2 linked regions of the Drosophila melanogaster genome follow. Changing the gene in region 2 together with the main gene of any one other region gives a genetic interaction. Each region holds a gene or a part of one and is shown on either strand. Other genes may lie near its edges. The genes, in order: Hph and mRpL12.

What was found.
Region 1: of mRpL12 (region 2) and Hph, changing one suppresses a phenotype caused by changing the other (phenotypic suppression), as found in Drosophila melanogaster (one study listed by BioGRID).

The regions. Positions count from the first base shown.
Region 1 is NT_033777.3:5,254,963-5,260,269, reverse strand, and holds the start of Hph (HIF prolyl hydroxylase), read right to left. Parts: upstream 3,234-5,307; 5' UTR 2,706-3,233; coding exon 2,149-2,705; intron 1,935-2,148; exon of another isoform or gene 1,800-1,934; coding exon of another isoform or gene 1,125-1,799; exon of another isoform or gene 1,111-1,124; intron 1-1,110. Other genes in the region: Tim17a2, read left to right, coding at 1,125-1,799; Enoph (Enolase-phosphatase), read left to right, coding at 3,667-4,022, 4,332-4,588, 4,651-4,808; CG1113 (uncharacterized protein), read right to left, coding at 4,867-5,296.
Region 2 is NT_037436.4:8,954,987-8,958,291, reverse strand, and holds mRpL12 (mitochondrial ribosomal protein L12), read right to left. Parts: upstream 1,502-3,305; 5' UTR 1,413-1,501; intron 1,357-1,412; 5' UTR 1,346-1,356; coding exon 797-1,345; 3' UTR 708-796; downstream 1-707. Other genes in the region: GNBP3 (Gram-negative bacteria binding protein 3), read right to left, coding at 1,794-3,266.

The sequences.
Region 1 (5,307 bases), on a different chromosome or scaffold from region 2:
GGGATGACGTCATATTTGGTGACGAAACAAAAATGATGCTCTTTTATAACGACGGGCCAAGCAGAGTATGGCGCAAACCGTTGAGTGCGCTAGAAAAACAAAATATCATTCCAACGATAAAATTTGGAAAAATGTCACTGTTGGTTTGGGGCTGTATCACCAGCCGTAGAGTGGGAAAACTAGCCTTAATTGAGGGCACAATAATTGCCGTGCAATATCTAGGAATTTTAAAAAACAAATTTGAAGGCCAGTGCAGAAAAATTTGATCTAGTTAGCAACAACAAGCCAAATTTTATATTTTAAGAGGACATGATCAGAAACATAAAGAGTGCAATGTACGCACCTGGCGCCCTTATAACTGTGGTAAAGTGATCGATACGCCCCCTCAGAGTCCTGATCTGAACCCCATTGAAAATTTGTGGACCTACTTAAAGAAGAAGGTGGCAAAAAGGAACCTAAAACACAACAACAGCTTATGACTGTAATAGTCGAAGAGTGTGAAAAGATCCCGTTTGAATATGACCTGCAAAAACTTGTCCAATCCATGAAAAAAGGGCTTCAACTTGTAGCTAAAGCCAATGGGGAACATACTACATACCAAAACTTTTAAAATTTTAATAAAATAATTTAAAAATTTAGGATTAAACATCGATTTAGTGTTTTGTGTAAAGAGTTTCTTGACAGTCTCAAAAGTGTTTAAACTTGGAATTTGTTGTTTTTTTTCTTGTATATTTAATATTTTTAATTTGTTTTTTGATTTATAAGTAAAATAAATATTGTTTAATTATATTTTATAAAAAAAATGCGTTTAATTAAGCAAAAAACCTTTAATTTTTAGCTTTAAAGTCAAAAATTCAACTTATTTCACAGTGTGTAAACAGTTTCTTGACAAACTGTATATTTCGTTTGTAGGACCATTGGTAAATATTTGTATCTAGTTAGAACGGACGTAAAAGTCGTAAGGCAACATTCTCAAAGTTATGTATAATCTATAAACACACGTTTTTAATCAAAGGCCATATTGGTCAAAAGCTGATAGCACATATTCGCAAAACAAGGAAAGTTCACTACAAATCAAGTTTTGAATTAATTACGGATTCTTTTGGTCAGTACATCACCCGAACATGGAGTACAATCGCCAGCCGTGTCCCATCAGGATTGTAGAGGATTGCGGGTGCGCCTTTATGATGGGCACCATGGGAGGATCGTTGTTTCAGTACCTCAAGGGATTCCGAAACGCTCCGTCCGGTCTTCGACGTGGCTTGCACGGCGGTATAGAATCGGTGAGGTTGCGGACACCGGCCATAGCCGGCAGCTTTGCCATTTGGGGCGCCACCTTCAGCACGGTGGACTGCGTCATGGTCTCGTACCGCCAGAGGGAGGATTCCTGGAACGCGATTGTCAGCGGAGCGGCCACTGGCGGAATTTTAGCCGCCCGGAATGGAATTCGAGCCATGGCCAACAGTGCCTTTGTGGGCTGCCTCGTTTTAGCCATGCTCGAAGGAGCTGGAGCAGCAGTGGCTACGATTTATGCATCGGATGGAGGAGTCAAAGCAGAGGAGTCCCTAATCACTGTTGACCAGCAAATGCAGAGACCCCAGTGGGAGACATCCGTTGCTGATTCGAACCTAACTGGGGCGGAGTTAGAGCGGGTGTTGGATGAATGTCGGGCATACAGGGCACACAACAAGATGCAGCAGCCTATGCGTTCGGACGCAGTGGAGGGTAAGGAACTGGGGCAACTGATGAAGCCAATGCACTCGTTGGTCGATCTGGTAAAGCTGGCCGAAATTGTCTGATAGAAAAGCTTTTAAGGTTTTAAGTCAACCTCCCATGCTTCTTCCAAATTAAGTGTTAATTCGATATTCAGCGTTAATCTTATATTATTTTTAAAAGCCCAGTAGGTACAAGGAATGATTTTCTATCTCATGGAGAATATTTTTCCATCTTCAATAAAAGATCAGCTGATATTTGATTGCATCTAATAAAATACTATGGCACTATGCAGGCTCAAAAGAGCTTCTAAGAAAAATATATCTCTTCTAGCGTGCCACCATGAGCAGTATTATAGTATTATACATTTTTAACTTATGTTTTAGCATAAAACTGTTGAAACTGAAACATCTGACCTGTCCACTGACGACCTACCTTCCTGATCCCATGAAGCTGGCATCCGCCAGACCGATTTGATAGCTGGAGCTCTTTTCGCCATTATGGTGATGATGCTGGTGCTGCTGCTGCCTTTGACCTGTTTCCGTTTCCGCAGCTGCAGCCTTCTCCTGGCTGCCCGGCTGCCCGAGGAGATTCAGCAGGTTGTCTACCTCGGCGGGCCAACTCTGCGCCTGGTGGGCAGGCGTCATCATCTGGGCGGTGGAGCAGTTGGCGCCGGCGCCGCTGCATTCCAGATTGGCAGATGCCACAGCTTGTTGCAGTTGCTGGATCTGCTGCCGCTGCTGCTGCTTATTGTTGTTGCTGCTGTTGAGCTTTTGGCGGGTCAGGAGGCGGCACTCGGTGCGGTGGTCGGGCCAATGGAGATGCTGGTGGGCGGGGGAGCAGTAGTAGACGGCCTTGCACTTGGCGCAGCGCAGTAGTTGCTGCTGAGTGCCGCAGATGGAGCAGCGCGGCGGGTCCATGGCCGATTTGGATGCGGAGTGGGAGCCGGAATGGCTTGCTGAATCCCTGACCTTTCCGCGACCCCTGCTCATTGCATTTTGCGGGAGAGGAGAGCCAAAGGCGACGACCGATTTTAACCTTGACAGCTCTCCCAGCTTTTTTTACCCCACCTCACCTACGCCAACTGAGGCAATCACACACACACACGCTCGCAGATTATGGCTATTTGTTATCAATGCGAATTACGGCACTCGGGCGTTTTAGCCAACATTTCACTTAAGACTGTTTGTGCTTATTTTAATCACGTAGGCCACCGAATTTGCCAAATAAACAAAAAAAAACGCACATACAACGCACACACACAGACGCACGGGCAGCTATATGTGCATTGTTGTTGGTTTTTCCTGCGAGTATTCTCTTTTGTAAGACGTTTTAGGGTTGCAACTTTTAACCCTATTGACTGTTTTATACCCTGCCTTGAGCTCTATTACGCCCCTTGTTTATAAAAACCGCGTAAACTGTGCAAAAAAAGGGAAAAATTCTTAACTCAGCACTAAAATTTCTTTTTGATAGCGATGGGCGTCGACCGATACTTAGCGTGCAGCGATTGACATGTACTCGTTGTACAGCACTATTACCGGCGGGCAGTAGGTATCGATAGCTGAACGAGCCAACGTTAGTGGTGATTATTTTATACTGGCACTTATATACTAACGGTAATCAAAGCTTTTTATTTCGCTATTTTTATTTACTAGCTTTAATATTTAATTGCACAAGATTCGGAAACAAAAAGCTATTGGGAAAATTAACTCAAAGCGGCCATTAACCCCATAAGAATTACTTTAATACAACTTCAGTCGATCGTTTATCAATTAAGCAAGGTCTCTAAGAATGGCAAATACCCTTATCGTCTATTCCAATACATTTATATATATATATTTTAAAGTCGATAGTCGATAGCGCGATGTGCCATCTCCATTATCAAAACTAAACAGATGCTGGGCGGAAAATCAACTGGTTCCTCGTGATAACTTAATCCCACTAATAAGCGCAATGTCGTCCAGTGAACGAGTGGCCAAAGTGGTGCTGGTGGACATCGAGGGCACCACCACTTCGATTAGCTTTGTGCACGATGTCCTGTTTCCCTACGCCAAGCAGAATGTGGAAAAGTTCCTGAGGGATTCGTGGGAAGAAGATGATATAAAGCGTATTGTCCAGGATCTACAGCAAGTGCCCCAGTATGCGGACTACAAGGCCCTGTTAAGTGGTCCACCTACGGAAGTGGATGTAGATCTGATTGCAGGCTTTGTGCGCTATTTAATTGATCAGGATCTGAAGGTCACGCCAATGAAAACGCTGCAGGGCTTGATTTGGGCGCAGGGCTACGCTAATGGAGAGCTGAAGGGCCAGTAAGTTCCCCATTCAATATTCTCCTATCATGGCCATATAAGTTTTACAATCTGAACTCTAGAAGGTTATCAAAGAAAAGGCTTACTTAACGTCTGTTCCCAAAAATAATTTGGGTGTCTTTCTGAGATCCAATTATACAGCTTGGTGATTTTTTAAATATGTATGCTAGCTATATTCTCCGCACGGGAATGTTTAACTTTTGCTGATTTCAATAGTTATCAGATAACATTCAACATAGTAACCAAAAGTACAACGCAACAACTCATTATTATTGATAATTAATTAATTATCTATAAATGTTATTATAGTGTATACGAAGACGTCCCTGCAGCTTTTGAGGCTTGGCGTGCTGCTGGCCTCCAGATTGCAGTCTACTCCAGCGGCAGTGTGGCTGCCCAAAAGCTGATATTCGGTCATAGTTTGGCCGGGAACCTGCAGCCGTACTTGAGTGCTTATTTCGACACCCATGTGGGCCACAAACAGGAACAGCAGTCCTATAAAAACATTGCCAAGCAATTGAAGGAGGACCCGAAGCAGATACTCTTTCTCACGGATATTCCAGGAGGTGAGTGGCTGATCCACACGAATCCTCATCCGTAACATTTTTAATGTGAAATTATATTTTAGAAGCGGCCGCCGCTCGCTGTGCGGGCTTGCAAGCCATAATTCTGAAGCGTCCTGGAAACGCCGCCCTAGCAGACGATCAAAAAACTGGATTCGAGTTGATTCCGGACTTTAAACCACTTCACAACCTGAAAGTTCCGGTCAATAAATCCCAGGCTTAGGTCATTCCAAAAAAGTATACATATATTGTGACTATGTGCTTGGGAATTAGGTGAATCTCTAGAGGAAAGCTCGATCTGCGCTGCACAGGTCGTCACCGCTGTCGTGGCTGGGCGTCTCGGTCGTGAGCCCCTGCGGCCGTCGTTCGGACCGCTTGCTTCGTTGAGACTGCCTCGAACAGGACTTTTCTGAGCCATAGACCTTACGCAGTTGCTGCAGCTTAGTATCCGCATCGGGAACAGGAAACTCTGACTTTTTCTTCCTACGTTGCCGGCTCCCCTCGCACGAATGACGCAGTTCCTCGGTCCGGCAGGTGTGGGTGAGCTTGCCCACTTCTGGACCCCAGAACGTGGGTCCTTCCAGAAGAAGGGGAGCGGATTTGACCCGTTGACGCATCATCTCCATATGCAGTTCGTACTGACGCTCCTGAAAAGCCTGCTCTGCCTTGCGAGTGGCCAACCGAATGGATAGCAGTGCCTTGTGGGATTCGCTAAAGAAAGA
Region 2 (3,305 bases):
CGCCGCATGATTCCCCCGGATGGGATAAAAGAAAGTGTCCGTCTGTTTGCTCATCTCTGCGGTATGTAAACGTAGCTCCACATTGGCATCTTCTTTCCGCTCGAGCCAGTTTTAGTGGCTATAAATAAAATCGAAAACTCGGCGCCATTGTGATCCGTCCGTTTACAGACCATGATGATGTAACGGTACCATCTAGCTGGATTTGGCGCGTGTTTTTGAGTCAGCAAGAGCTGATTACTGATCTGATTTGGTGCATTTACTAGAACGCAGCACGACACGCACGACACCAATTAGCAGGACACCACTAATCGCCGACTATGACACTAATTAAGGTTTAATCCCAAAAGGAAGGTAAAAGTGGATTGGGCTGGATTGTTTTCCAGGCCGACGCTTAGAAAGTTGCACGTAATTTGCTGCGTTGCCAACTACGAGCAATCCATATAAGTTATTTGGAGTGCGATTAGGGCTTTTCAAAAAACAAAGACTTTTTTAAAAGTTTTTCCTCTAGATATTAACCTTAATATAATTATGTAAATGAACAAATATAATTATGTTTTGATCTAGTAAACTAACCACAGCATTGCAAGAAAGTTTGTATTATGTAAATACTTTTGCGATTTCTAGGCGAAAAGTATTTTACCTACTTTTGTCTAAAAACCTATCCTTCTGTTTTGCAAAAACAAAATATTGGGTTAAACAAAACGTAAAGTTTACAGCAAATGTTGCCTGGCTTTTTATTAAAACAGTAACTAGCAGCTAAACGCAAAGTGGATAAACGAAGGCACCGTGGCCGATCCTACTCGATCTCGATGATGGCGCCCGCCTTGGACAGTGCCTCCTTGAGTTTCTCGGCCTCCTCCTTGGGGATGTCCTCCTTAACGATGGTCGGTGCGCTCTCGACGAACTTTTTGGCCTGCACCAGGTTCATGCCCTCGAGTAGGTTCTTCACCTCCTTGATCAGCGCCACCTTCTGCTTTTCGTCGAACTTGACCAGCTTGACCTTGAAGGAGGTCTGTACCTTCTTGGGCGCTGCCTCCTCCTCATCCTCGGCGGGAGCAGCACGTGCCGGCCCAGCGGCGAATTGTGGGGCAAATGCGGTCTCGGGCAGGTTCAGTTTCTGTTTGAGCAGGGTGCTCAGCTCGGCCACCTCGAGGAGATTGAGCGCGGCAATGTTGTTGACAATCGAGTCCAGTTTGGGATTGGGTGGCTTGGCGGCTCCTTCCGGCGCGGGAGGCACCAGTTTTTCCGCACCCGAGACTGCGGCGGCCGGAGCCGCTGCACTGTACATGCGATGCAGCTGCACTTGGCGCGAAATCTGGCGAAGGGCGAGGCGTGTGATGTGCATCTTATTGGTATCTGCAAGTCTTAAGTTAGAAAAGCGTTCAACTATCATTTAATATCCATTTACTTACGGTTTTCGGGTGACAAAATAAATTCTTTGGGCCGCAGCAGCAGGTTATGTGAGCAGTTTATCGATAAACAGCCAGGGCTGCATTCAACATATTTGGTTGAACGGCAGTGCCATGCTTAAATAAAACCATATGGTTGGAAAAGTAACGTTTAAATACCGCTAAATAAATAATTTAATTTACAATTGTTTTTTGCTTGTTTTTGCTTGTTTTGCATGGAAATTTATTTAAAAAATAAACAGGTAAGAACCTTTGAACTTGATTTTCATTTAAGAAAGTTCTTCCATTTTCTAGCATAATTTTAGATGTAAATGTATAAAATGTATTGTATAAATGTTAATTATATTTGTTTTATTTCCTATGCTTGTAATTCGATTACAGAGTTTACAAAGAGTACACCTTTACGTAGTCGATCTTCATGTGGCCCTCGTCCAGCCAGTGGTCCCTGATCTTCTTGACTTCCTTCCAAAAGGCTTTCTGCGCCTGCGGCGCCCTCTCGTTCCAGGGTTTGATCTCGTGCTGGTACTCGTTAAAACCGCCCACGCTGAGTCCGAAGGTCAAGTAGAACTCCTGATCGAAGGGTGCCAGTCCAGTGCCCTCCTCCAGTTTCTGGGCCTGCGGTAAACTCTTTCCGGCGGCAGTCGTCTCGCTGAAAGACCCTTTAGCACTTCCCTGGACACACCACTCCTTGCCGTCCACCAGCCAGCGAAGTTCCCTGGGTGTCCATTCGAGGGTGTAATTGTGGAAACTATCGCTCCAGTCCTCGGAGTTATTTCCAGTACCTGGCTTCAGGCAATTCTTGACCGATCGCAGCGGCTCATCTGCAAAGAGCACGGCGGCGCCATACAAATCCAGATTACCTCCATTCGGACGGGTATAAGCGATTCTCAGCTGTCCCGACCGATAATCATCCACTCCGTAGATCGGACGCCTGGGCTGCAGCCAGATTTGTGGAGTCACCCACTGTGCCCGCGGCATTTTGGCTCGCACCTCCACGCGACCATACTTGAAGGAGAAATCCTTGGAGGAGAACTGAGCGGTGACCATTGGCGGAAGTCCGTCATTTAGGGTTCGCCCATTTCTTACACAGTCGTGGGTATTCGCTTGTCCCGTACACTTTTCACCCAGATCCAAACTTTCACCCGAACCCTTCTTGAATTGTTTTTTCATTGTGTTCGTCGAGAGCACCACATGACCATTGGCTAAGCACAAGGTTTCCGGAGCGTCATCCACGTACACATTAAACTCGTAGTCGGGTTGACCGGAAAACCTGCGTTCCGCTTTCCACTTATTGGGATCCAGCTTTGCAGCATTGAACTCATCCACGAACACCAGCTGCCCGGCACAGCGAGTGGGTGCTCCATTGACCTCGGTTTTGGGAGTAGTACAACCCAACCTTATGTCGATATCCGGATCGGCAGGTGGAGTCCAGGGCGTTGTGGAGACTGGAACCACAGGTGGATGTGGTGAGGCATTATTACCACTGTACCCATTGACCACAAACGACCCGTCGTCTTCGCGATAACCCAGTCCGTTGTAGATAACGTATGTCCAGTAGTACAGGGTGTCGCCAGGCTTTAGAGCCGTAATCCGGTCCCGGAAGGTCCAGCGTCCGTTTTTCGCTTTGACAATGTCCCGTGCCCAGGTGCCAGCCTCCAGGCCCTCCATCTCCTCATTTAGTTTGCCATGGAAGGCGAACAGGGTGATGCCCTCCTCATCGGGAATTGAGACCTCGAATCCCTTGGGATAGAAAACATCGATCTTAGCCTTGGGTACTTCATACCCCTGAACGCCAAGGAGCAGGAACAGCAGTTGGAGGCAGCAGCTCCAGGCCACAAAGCGCAATGCATCCGCCATTGTGGGAATACCAATTAAAACTGCGATGAGCGGTCAGAC